Struthio camelus: one gene and its partners. The protein of the gene in region 1 purifies or fractionates together with the protein of each later gene. This does not show direct contact. Links are inferred from orthologs where the notes say so. Each region holds a gene or a part of one and is shown on either strand. Other genes may lie near its edges. The genes, in order: STX7, BET1 and VAMP3.

Region 1 (3,745 bases):
TGTAGCTATACCAGTCTTGGAGACTACATTGTCTCTCATTGCAGCATACTTTGAGACACATTAAAAATCACCTATGTCAGGGGCACCCTTTCTGAAAAGGGTAGATACTTCAGGCTTTTTAACTTCACCGAACTCTGTATTTTACTGGACTTCTTTATTAGTGTTACTAGATTATGATGTTATTAAGGTTTTCATTGTTCTGATTATTTCTAAACCTTAGCAATGACTGAGCTTTATGTCATAGCAGAAGTAAACTACCGTGCCTATGAGGCAGGTCAAGGCTTGGCAAATGAGTACACCTTCCAATGTCTGTAGCTCGTCTTTAGACAAAGCTGGGTTTTGCTGACAAGATTACTTTCCAGAGCAATCACATACCGTGCACTGCTTGCTCTGCTGTATTTAATGTACACGGGAGCGTCTTGTACACCAAGCAGGCCAGCCTGCAGCGCGCTGGAGAACATCTGACCCTGTAATTTTCCCTTCAAAAAGACAAGCAGGATCCAGAAGCATTCCCAGCTGCGATGCAAGAGGCCTAAAGGCTCATTTGTCCCTTTTTCTCAGGTAACTGGGTCAGGAGGGGAACGGATCCCCCATTTCCTGGCTCTGCTTCCTGGTACCACGTCTTCTGCTGCATTTGCAGTTATATACCATCAGTTACTACTGACACACTAAACTGACTGCTAACAAATGCGTGTATGTACCCTTCATTTTTCATTATTCTAAACATTTCTTGCCTTCTCTCTCAGCTAATTACTGATTACAGGCCTCTAAATAAATTTATCATTTTCCACCCACCTTCAGCCTCTAGAAGTGCCCACTTCCATTTAGAGATGAAGTGACCAGAACTGGAAGTCGTGCTTCAGCGAAGGATGCTATGGAAGTCAATGTAATGACATTGAATTCTTCATTGTTCCACCACTACCTCGTGCATAAATATATAAACTTCTGCTGCAACAGCATCTTTTCCTTAAATGACATTCTCACATAGGCAACTCTTTCACTCATGCACGATCACAGTGTGCTGACAAGCTGGCTAAAGTGCATACACATTTCCTTTTTTTCTTCTGCGTGCGCACTGCCTTGCACGCACCCTCGAAGGACTACCGCCTTTTCAAGCCTGAACCCATGCAGACAGCAAAAACAAAACCAAAACAACCCCCCCACACCCCCCCAACCCAGAAACCTCGGCCGGCAGGGTCGGCACGCAGCGGGGCACCAGCCCCCCAACAGCGCCCAAACCCACTCTCCCTTCACCCACTGGCGCCCCCGGCGGGGCCGGGGCCGGGGCCGGGGCGGGACGGGACGGGACGGCACGGGGCGGTGCCGCGCAGCGCCGCGCCGCGCTGTGCCGGGCGGCCAGGCCCCGGCCCCGGCCCGCCCCCTTCGCTGCCGCCCGCCCGCCGCGCCCGGGGGAGCAGGCGCGCCGGGGCCGGTGAGACCCGCGGCCGGGTGGGGAAGGGGCTGCGCGGCGCGGAGCGGGGCGGCGGCGGGGTGGGAGCCGCGGCGGCTGCCGGGCGGGCCTGGCGGCCGGGCCGGGCCGGGCCGGGCCGCCTCCCGGGCGGCAGCGGGGCGCGGGGCCGGCCGGGCTGCGGCCTGGCGGCGGCGGCGGCGGCGCGGGGCCCGGCGGGAGAGGGGCGGCCAGGAGCGCGGTGAGGGGCGGCGCGGCCCTGCCAGCGCCCCGGGGCGGGGGGGGGGGTAACGTTTGTGTCAGCTCTGGTGTGTCCAGGGGGGAAATGGGGCCTGAAGGCGGTATTTGGGACAGGGTATGGTGCGTTTTCACGTGTGTGGCCGGGGCTGGTTTTCCGTGGTGATGTTCAGCGTCGCCGTGTCAAAACATTCCCCGTGTTGTTTCAGACCTCAGATGAGCAAAACACGTCAGCGGAGGGAAGGAAGATTATAAAAGTCAGACGGATATTTAAATAGTGAGCTTGGGCCTGGCATTTTGGGCTTGTGGCACAGCGTTATCGCTGCTTTTCTCGTTGAGCGCCTTGCTGCCGCATGAGACGCAGACACTTGCAACTACAGGAGGAAGTGAAAGGTTTGGCTCTGCTCTGCATGAAGTGCAAAGCACTTAATGGTAAAACCTGGGAATACTTATGGCCGGGACTGAGGTGACCGCGTCTTCTCACCCTTTCCCCTGATAAACAAGCAGTGCCCAGCTGCAGAAATGTGCCGGCAGGGCGAGTGCTGTGCAGCTGCCTGGAGGATTCGTGACTAATAGTCATACCGTCATGTGTTTCGGCGGCACTGCAGTCCTGCTGTTTTAAGCTTTGGGATTTACGTGAGTGCTCTTAGCAAAAGGAAAGAAGAAAACAGAAGTTAAAACACGTTAAAACAGGGATGCTAAATGCTACGTTGAGGCATTGCCATAAACTGTATTTGTATATCCTGCATGACAATATCTTTTGTAACCTCATATGCAAATACTAAGTTACTCTTATGTTGGTGGCATAGGTGGAAGAGATGCTCTTTGCATACTCCTCATGGTCTTAATTTCTAAGTCATCGTCTTGGTGGGCCTTGGAGAGAATCAGCATCTAGCACAATCAAACCTTACGCAAAGATGATTTCTACATCAATATACTTAATCTGAGCCCTTGGTTAAAGGTGCACAAGCTCTCTTTAGGGAGGTTTGGATAAGAAAAGGTGTATTGCACTAGGTGTTCGGTGGCGTTGGTCTGTATTCGTTTTCTCGTAAGATGTTGTTAGCCTGGATCATAAGGAACGGGGCACTTTGAAAAAGCCATCTCCATTCCTCTTTCAGCCCAGCTGCTCCCTCTCCTTCGCTCCCCAATAGTTCCAGTATCCAGTGTGTGTTTTACTGTTCCAGCTTCGCTGTCAGGCCTCTAAACGCTCTGTGTTCTCTGGGGAACATAATTCCCCTTGTTAAGGTATTTCCTTGAGAACTAACGTGTTTTGTTGCACAGTCTGATAATTCTTATTTTTCATATTTAAAAAAAGAAATACTTCCAGCAATTACATAAAGTAAAACTTGGTTTTGGTGTGTTTCAGCCTAATTTTTGAGGCAAGGCTGGGAGAACTGGGCTTGCTTAGCCCGGAGAAAAGGGGATTTGACTAAACTCACTCCTGACTCCGGTTTGAGCAGGAGGTCAGGCTAGAGACCTCCTGAAGTCCCCCCCCCCGCCCCCAGCCTGTGTGATTCTGTCACTGTGGTAAATCAGAAATTGTTAGCAGTCTAGTTTAAAATCTACAAAAATTAAACACTTTCCGTTTTACTCTGACAATTAACTGGACAGCTGTAGACTTTGTCAGGGAAATCAAACCGTCCCCATATTGGTTGTAGACACAGCTTTGAAAAAGCATTTTACTGTATGTTGTATGTGACTGATTTGCGGGGTGCAACGTATGCAGTAACTTAGCAGAGTGAAATAGAAAAATACCGTCTGATGTCGTCTATGTCACTTACTGCATAAGAACAACGGAAGTTTTAAAGAGACTTTGTTGTTCCTCAGTACCCTGTGTGGATTTAAGTTTGACTTTGGCCTGAAGATAGATGATGGAAGTTAACATCCAGAGTCTTTAGTATTCCTTTTAAGTAGAAAGGGAAGAATACTCTTTATGCCTGTTCTGTTTGCATGTATATTACGCTCCATAGGTTTTCTGGTGTTGTGGAAGTGCCCAGAGTCCCTTTGTGGTCCAGGAATGCAGCATGTTAGGAACTGCAGAAGCACAAGGTGGAAAGTATGATCTCTTTTTTCCAAAATACTTCAGCCTAAGTATAAGGG
Region 2 (3,745 bases), on another chromosome or scaffold:
TGATGTATTTCCCCAAGTTAATGTAAATTAAGTCTCAATTCATCAGTGGTGGCAGCTTTCAAACTCATATAAGAATGGCTGAGTTTCAGATAAAATTCTATGGAGATTTGCCTCGTACTGCATAGTATGAATGGCAATTTTGCAGTTTGTTTCTTCTCCCTTGCCTTCTTCTCCATTTTCTACATACGCAAATAATGCTTTATTTGAAATTTTGGATAGACTGTTCAAAGTCATTAGCAAATATTACATAAACTTTAAGGCAGATTTCTACATTATATTCATTTTACTCTTCATAATGCTCTGAAACATGGGCATTCAGGTGTGACTGTGAAGAAAATAAATGAAGAACAGCTTGTCAAGGTTTGTTTTAAAGTTTGGCTGATACAAGACTAGTAGCTCAGTTCCAACTTTGACAAATAGAAAAAACCAGAAATGCTGCAATTATTCGGGTTTTACTCATGGCAAAAGGATACATGAGCTATCTTATAGCAATACAAAGGGTGTCAGCTGGGGAGCACAGGCTTTCATGTTGCCCAGTGTTACTCTGTTCTTCCTTCTACACCTTTACCCAGCTAGATAAAGGCTTGTTATATTGCAGACTCTTGGAAGCAGGACCTTTGGTCTGTGTTTATACAGCTTGTATGATACAAGTGGGTCTTAGTCCAGCACTGTGTCTCTCAGGCTCTACCAGAACACAAATCGCGAGGGAATTAAGGGGATGGTAGTTCGTTATAAATGGAGAAGCCAGTTTAGCTTCTTTAGTCCAGTGGATGCAGCACCAAAAATAGCAAACTAAATTGACTCCATGACGTTGTTTGCTTTACGCTTGAGGACTGATAAACCATTCTGGTTTCATCCTGGGAAATAAATTCAATACAATGGCATAAAGAATGAGTCACATCTTTAATAAAAAAGGAGATAAAACCAAGTTCTGACAAAGCATTACAAGAGGTTAAAGTGTATAGTGGAGAAGAAACTATCTTTGCAAATGAAATTTGAATCATTATGAGCACTGAAGAATCAATAATAATGAAATCTGGAGTTTTCCAGTTTGAGTTGCGGTATGCTGCGGTAGCTTGCCTGTTGCTTACAAAATAAACAGGCCAAAAGAGGGGTGGGCTCAACTCAGCCCTCCGTTTCCATTTTTTGACCGCATGCTACAACTAAAGACAATCATTGAGAATCCTTCCTTTTTCTAACAAAACAACAGGGTACTGATGACCTGTTAAAATGAAGGCTGAGAGGCTTTTATTTTTTCTTTCAGGATCAATTCTCAAAGTTTAACACAATCTTAAAGAAGTAATTTATTGCAGAAATTCATAATAAATGGTTATATTCAGTAGAGCTTGCTCCTTTTTTTTTTTTTTTTTTAAAGATACAGGAAAGTAACAACAGGAAAGCAGCGATGCACCTGCCATTTCCAAGGCCTGTTGGGAAAACACGCGGTGCCCCGAGACCCAGCAAAAGGCGGTGCCGGTCCAGGGCCGCAGAGCCCCTCGGGGTAACGCGCCCGCCAGAAGATGGCGGAAGAGCCACCCCTGGGCCTGGGGGAGGCCTGAGGCTCTGGGAGGGGGCGTCTCCGTCAGGGAGCGCGGCCCTAGCGCCGCCCGCCGCCCTCAGGCGCCAAGGGCCGGGCCGCGGCTGCCCTCAGCGGCGCTGCCGCCTCACCGCCCCCTCCCCCCCGAGAGAAACTACACTACCCAGAAAGCCCCGCGCGCGGCGGCCTGCGTTACCCAGCGGGCGGCGCGGCGGCGGAGCGATGTCGTGGCGCTGGCGGAGTGAATGAGCCGGGCAGCCGAGCGGGAGCCGGGCCGCAGCCGCCCCGCCGAGGTCCCCTACCCGCAGCCGCGGGAGTCGCTCCCCTCCCCCGGGCACGGCCATGAGGCGCGCGGGGCTGGGTAAGCGCCGGGTCGCGGCGGGCCCGTTCAGGCGCCTTGTGCTGCTCGGCGGTTACAGAGAGAGCGGGAAGCTCGGCGGGAGCGGGCCGGGGCCGGGCCGGGGGAGCGGGCGGTGGGTCCGTGCTCCGCAGCCGGCGGCGGTGCCCGCGGCTGGGCCGGCCGGGCAGCAGTCCCGCCCGCCGCCTTGGGGCCGCGCGGGCTCGGCCCGCCTCGCCGTGCCCCCGCCGTGGGGTGGCGGGTGTGTGGGGCGGACGGCTCGCGATCCGCCGGCGTGGGCCGGCCCGCTTCGCTTCCGAGTCAGCGTCGCTCGGGGAGCTGCGCTGGGATGTCCGGTTATTCTTGTTCCTGTGTTGTCTCGGGATGGTTCCAGTGCAGTGCCAGCTTGAGCCATTTTCCATGCATGGACGGATTTGTCCCTCTTCAGTCAAATCACTTCCAAATTTTCAGATGCTTTTTAAGTTTAATGCTTCTGTATGTTTTCTTGCTGTGTTTGGTGTGTGGGGGGGAACCCACTGTCATTTTACAGCAAACATAATCTGGTGGAAATGCAGAAGTCTGTGAGAGTTCCTGCCGAGTTTCGAGAAGCTCGAGGCCCATTTTTTGACCAGCCACGTCGATGCCAGTGAAAGAAACTTTGAACTCTTGTGCTATGTTGTAGGACCTCATAGGTGCTGTTACCTCGCTGCAAAACTTAGACAGTGTGGTGAAGTTCATGCCCCAGAAGTTTATGACCAAGTTCTGTTACTTCTTCCTAGAAAGAAATTTCTCTAAGTGAATGTTTGTTGGCTGATGAATTCTGCATAGTTAGACCTATAGTCTCGGTAATACTGCTCTAGACTTACTTCTCCACTTTTTTGTTTTGTTTTTAATAGTATATGTACAAGTTAAAATAAATCTTGGAAATGCAGAGGCTAGATTGAAAGTCAGCGAGCTCATTATGCTGTTTCTGAAAGTGTGAAATAACAGATGTCTGTGAAAAGAATACAAGAAGAAGAATGTGCTTTCTTCTAATGTCTCTGGCAATCAACGGCTTAGAGAGTAGCCATGAAGTACATCTTTAAAAAAAAAAAAAAAAAAAAAAAAGGAAGGTTAAGAAGAAACTTAAACATCTTTACGGCTGTTATCAGTTGCAGTAAAATTTGCTGGTAGCATGCAGGTTTATTAAATTTTGCCTTGTCATTTCAACAATCCATCTAGAATAATACATTTTTTTTTATTAGGCTGAAAATAGGAGCTTGGCAGTAGTACTTCTGCCGTTGTCTCCAGGTACCTCATGCCTTTTTTTGTCTCCAGTTATGCTATGGTCACGTCTATATTACGTGTCCTGTCAGGGCAGTAATGAGCCATGTTACAAGATGGTCTATGTAACTGCCATGCTGAAGCGTCTGCTCTTCTTTTAAACGTTAGTAGCCAGGTTTCTGTAGCATTTTCAATAGATATAAGTAGATGTGTCTATTTAAAAGCTTTTGGACAGTTGTTAAGAGATGTTTGGGACATCTCTTATGTCACAGTCTGTATAAGAATCATATAATTACAGTATTTTAGTCACAAGCTACATGGTTTATTAACTTATAAGCATATATTAAATCTTAAATCATTTGATAGGAAGTACTGTAGTTAGATGCCTTTGTAGAACAAGGACCGTGGACACACCCTTAACTCTAAAATGGTTCCTTTTTAGTCAACTTTCTGCACTTGGCATCAGTGTATTTGATTTTAAAAGCGAACAGCAACTCTCCTCTTGCTGTGTTGAAATAGAAACATGCATTTTTACCCAGTCTTGCTGAGGCTTTGTCATTGAATAAGCTTACAGAACAAAATAAAAAAAAAGTTTACAGGTGCAAACT
Region 3 (3,745 bases), on another chromosome or scaffold:
CTGCTGAGGGCGGCCTGCCAATTACAGCAGCGTGTCTGCCACTGGGCTGGGGGAGGGGGGGGGAAACACTCATATTTGGGCCTCCCTGGTAGCATAACCACACAGTTCAGAGGGCTTTGAACAAGCAACACCCCCCGCCCCCGGCACAAATCCTCTCAGTCCCTGTATGGCGGGGTTACCTGCTTCACAGGCACAGCCCACATCGAGGCCTCTGCCGATGCCTGGTTCAAGCCCGCGTGCCCGCAGCCTGGCACCAGCCGCTCCCACCAGGCGTTGCACTCACGCAACACGCCCCGGCCACCCGCGGGCACTGCCGGGCTGGACCGGTGGGGAGAGCCGGAGCGGGCGGAGAAACCCCTGCGGCGCCTGACGCAGCGGCGAGCGCCGCCACAGCCGTTCCCGACCTCCCGCCCCGCCCTCGCCACCACCTCAGCGGCCCCGGCGCGCGACCCCCCCCCCTCCCCAACGGCCGCGAGGCGAGCCCGCCAACGGCCGCGGCGCGCGACCCCCCCCAACGGCCGCGAGGCGAGCCCAACGGCCGCGGCGCGCGACCCCCCCCCTCCCCAACGGCCGCGAGGCGAGCCCGCCAACGGCCGCGGCGCGCGACCCCCCCCAACGGCCGCGAGGCGAGCCCCCCCCCCCCCAACGGCCGCGAGGCGAGCCCGCCAACGGCCGCGGCGCGCGACCCCCCCCCAACGGCCGCGAGGCGAGCCCAACGGCCGCGGCGCGCGACCCCCCCCAACGGCCGCGAGGCGAGCCCCCCCCCCCAACGGCCGCGAGGCGAGCCCAACGGCCGCGGCGCGCGACCCCCCCCAACGGCCGCGAGGCGAGCCCGCCAACGGCCGCGGGGCGCGACCCCCCCCCTCCAACGGCCGCGAGGCGAGCCCGCCAACGGCCGCGGCGCGCGACCCCCCCCCCTCCAACGGCCGCGAGGCGAGCCCAACGGCCGCGGCGCGCGACCCTCCCCCTCCCCCTCCCCCTCCCCAACGGCCGCGAGGCGAGCCCGCCAACGGCCGCGGCGCGCGACCCCCCCCCTCCAACGGCCGCGAGGCGAGCCCAACGGTCGCGGCGCGCGACCCTCCCCCTCCCCAACGGCCGCGAGGCGAGCCCGCCAACGGCCGTGGCGCCCGACCCCCCCCCCGCCCCCCAACGGCCGCGGCACGCGCCGGCCGCCCCGCCCGCTCGGGGCTGTGGCCTAGGCAAGGCCCGCCCCGGCTCGTCACATCGCGAGGGCTGGCGGGGCTGCGCGCACTTCCTGCCGGGCGCGGTCGGACGTTTTCGGTGGGCGGCAGCTCGACCCCGGCGGCAGCATGTGAGTGTGGGCCGGGGTGGGCGGCGGGCCCGAGGTGGGGGGGGGAGCCCGCGGCCGGGGGAGCCGGGGCGGCGGGCGAGCGGCGCTGGGCGGGCCGTGCCGGGTCGGGCGGCGGCCGGAGCAGGCCGGACGGGCGGGCGGGGAGGGGCGGGGCGGGGCGGGGGGCTCGTGGGAGCGGCTGTGCCTGGAGCCGTGAGGGGCGCTGCGGTGGCTGAGAGCCGCGTAGTGTCGCTGGCCCAGGCACTGGGGCGTTCGTCTTCTGCTTAGGGTGGGCTATCCTGTCCTGGTTTCTTCAGGCCAGTCTGAAGGGGCTTCTGTCAAGTCTACCAAGGCGGTCTAGTCTTGGATTAGCAGTGAAAGAGTATAAAAGGGTGACCTCGCTGTCAAGGTGTAGGAGCAGTTCTGTTGTCATACATGTGGACTGCTCTTGAGCCCTGTCATAGGCTTCCTGGTTTGCTCCTTGTACAGGTACACCTTTGTTCCCTTTAAATGTAGATTTAGGTTAAAATGTATAAATATAGCTAATATTCAAATTCATCTTTCTTATATCAAGGTGCACTAAACAGTAGTGTGTCTGATGCAGAATGGATGAAAATACAGAAGAGCAAATTGAGTACAGCTAGTCCTAGAGACGGATAACAAAAAGACATTAAAGCCGCGAAGAGGGCATGGGGAATGTGTAGAGAGGATCTTGGTTCAGTTACAGAGATGCAAAGTGTTGCAGCTGGTAAAAGGAACTAGATTGCCTGACCTTAGGAATTAAAAGCTGACCGCAAGTAAATTGCTGTATGCTGAATGCTTTTTCCTCATTGTGCTTTCTCTGGCTCCATGCCAACTGTTTCAAACAAAACGGGTAAGCACTGGAAGAGCGTGTAGTTAGAATAACCATTAAGTTTCTGTATTTCATTTTTGGAAAGCTGCTGAGTCTTGAAGCTTAGTATTTGCATTCTTTCTGAAGAAAACACCCCTGAACCCAAGCTCTTGAATGTTTGAGCCCTATGAGCCATTGTAGAAGTCACTGTATGCCTTATTACAAGTTGCATTATTAGCCAGCCACAGCTGTCTTTTAGCACTTCAAGCAATTAATTCACTGGCAGGAGGTTTTAGGGCACAGCTTGATTTATACCCAAGGTCAGTGGTTAAAACCTCATTTCTCCCATGGGAAAGGAAACTGCCCCATATTTCTTCCAAGGATCCAAGGTCCCTGTTTTCAGGAACAGCAGATAATTTCTAAACTTAAGCTTATCAACTTGAAGAAAATTATAAAAAGTGATTATAAAATAATGATTGCTTTCCTTAATGCAGGTCAGCAAGCGGCCCTGGAAGCTCAAATGTTGCTGCTGGCAGTAATCGTCGTCTTCAACAAACACAACACCAAGTAGATGAGGTAAAGGTCTAGTCTGATAGCAGTGTAATTCTGTCTCTTTCAGAAAACCTGATAAGCAAAATAGATAAGCTTTGGCCGCAGCAGTTATTATTCCTTTATGTGAAAGGGAAGCCTAGTATAATTCAGCTTTCCTTATTATACTTGTATCACTTTGGGTCTTGAAAAGGTTTAAAACAAAAAACAAAAAAAAGGGGAGGGTGAGGGGTGGCAGCATGTCAAAAAACTTCCATTCTGCTGTTCTGCCGGAGTGGGGAGAAGTTGCCAGCGTCTAAAGGTTAGCTGCAAACTCTATGTCTGAGGATTGGGCGTAAGTTAAAATAGTACCCTTTGTTCTTACAGAGAACAAACTTTTCTTTCCTCGGTGGCAAAGGCAGCTGATCGTCTCCAAATAAGACATGCCCAAATTTCTGAGGAATCCAAAAGCCGTTAACGGTTAAGAGCAGCTTTATCTGCTTGAACAGGATAGCACTTAAAATGAATTGCATGTCAAAAATATTTTGTCAGTCATGGTAAAATGCCTCAACTCCTTCTGAAGTAGGTCGTAAATAATTTCCCAGGTTTCAGGGAATGCCAGCACAACTTAGAGAACTTTTCTGCAGTACTGACGTTTGAAAGTAGGTATTAGGAACTTCCAGCTGCATGTGAAATGCACATTTTCACTGAAGCTCGCGATTAGATTTCCTAAAAGGCAATTGCTCCTACTCCTTAGGAGAACATTAAAAATATCAAAAATATCAGGTATTGGGATCTGTTGTCTGCAATTAATCTCTCCAATGGGTGATACAGTTGATGTACTTACTGTAAGTGTTAAATTGATGTAGGTGGTTGACATCATGAGGGTGAATGTGGACAAGGTATTGGAACGAGATCAGAAGCTGTCAGAGTTGGATGACCGTGCTGATGCGCTGCAAGCAGGAGCTTCCCAGTTTGAGACCAGTGCAGCCAAACTGAAAAGAAAGTATTGGTGGAAGAACTGTAAGGTAACTGTGGCTTGAATACTTGAACTACTCAGTATTACAATCAGTATCTCAGAAAGCAGAAGTAAA

What was found.
Region 2: the proteins of STX7 (region 1) and BET1 purify together in Homo sapiens (affinity purification with mass spectrometry; 3 studies listed by BioGRID and IntAct, with this or other methods). This does not show direct contact. The link is inferred for Struthio camelus from reciprocal best matches to the Homo sapiens genes STX7 and BET1.
Region 3: the proteins of STX7 (region 1) and VAMP3 purify together in Homo sapiens (affinity purification with mass spectrometry; 3 studies listed by BioGRID and IntAct, counting the BioPlex papers as one, with this or other methods). This does not show direct contact. The link is inferred for Struthio camelus from reciprocal best matches to the Homo sapiens genes STX7 and VAMP3.

The regions. Positions count from the first base shown.
Region 1 is NC_090944.1:71,940,279-71,944,023, reverse strand, and holds the start of STX7 (syntaxin-7), read left to right. Parts: upstream 1-1,327; 5' UTR 1,328-1,432; exon of another isoform or gene 1,433-1,449; intron 1,450-1,620; exon of another isoform or gene 1,621-1,649; intron 1,650-1,854; exon of another isoform or gene 1,855-1,998; coding exon of another isoform or gene 1,999-2,038; exon of another isoform or gene 2,039-2,111; intron 2,112-2,763; exon of another isoform or gene 2,764-2,890; intron 2,891-3,745. UniProt on the Homo sapiens protein: May be involved in protein trafficking from the plasma membrane to the early endosome (EE) as well as in homotypic fusion of endocytic organelles. Mediates the endocytic trafficking from early endosomes to late endosomes and lysosomes.
Region 2 is NC_090943.1:28,177,538-28,181,282, reverse strand, and holds the start of BET1 (BET1 homolog), read left to right. Parts: upstream 1-1,572; 5' UTR 1,573-1,879; coding exon 1,880-1,898; intron 1,899-3,745. UniProt on the Homo sapiens protein: Required for vesicular transport from the ER to the Golgi complex. Functions as a SNARE involved in the docking process of ER-derived vesicles with the cis-Golgi membrane.
Region 3 is NC_090962.1:232,325-236,069, reverse strand, and holds the start of VAMP3 (vesicle-associated membrane protein 3), read left to right. Parts: upstream 1-1,180; 5' UTR 1,181-1,310; coding exon 1,311-1,312; intron 1,313-2,617; coding exon 2,618-2,699; intron 2,700-3,520; coding exon 3,521-3,679; intron 3,680-3,745. UniProt on the Homo sapiens protein: SNARE involved in vesicular transport from the late endosomes to the trans-Golgi network.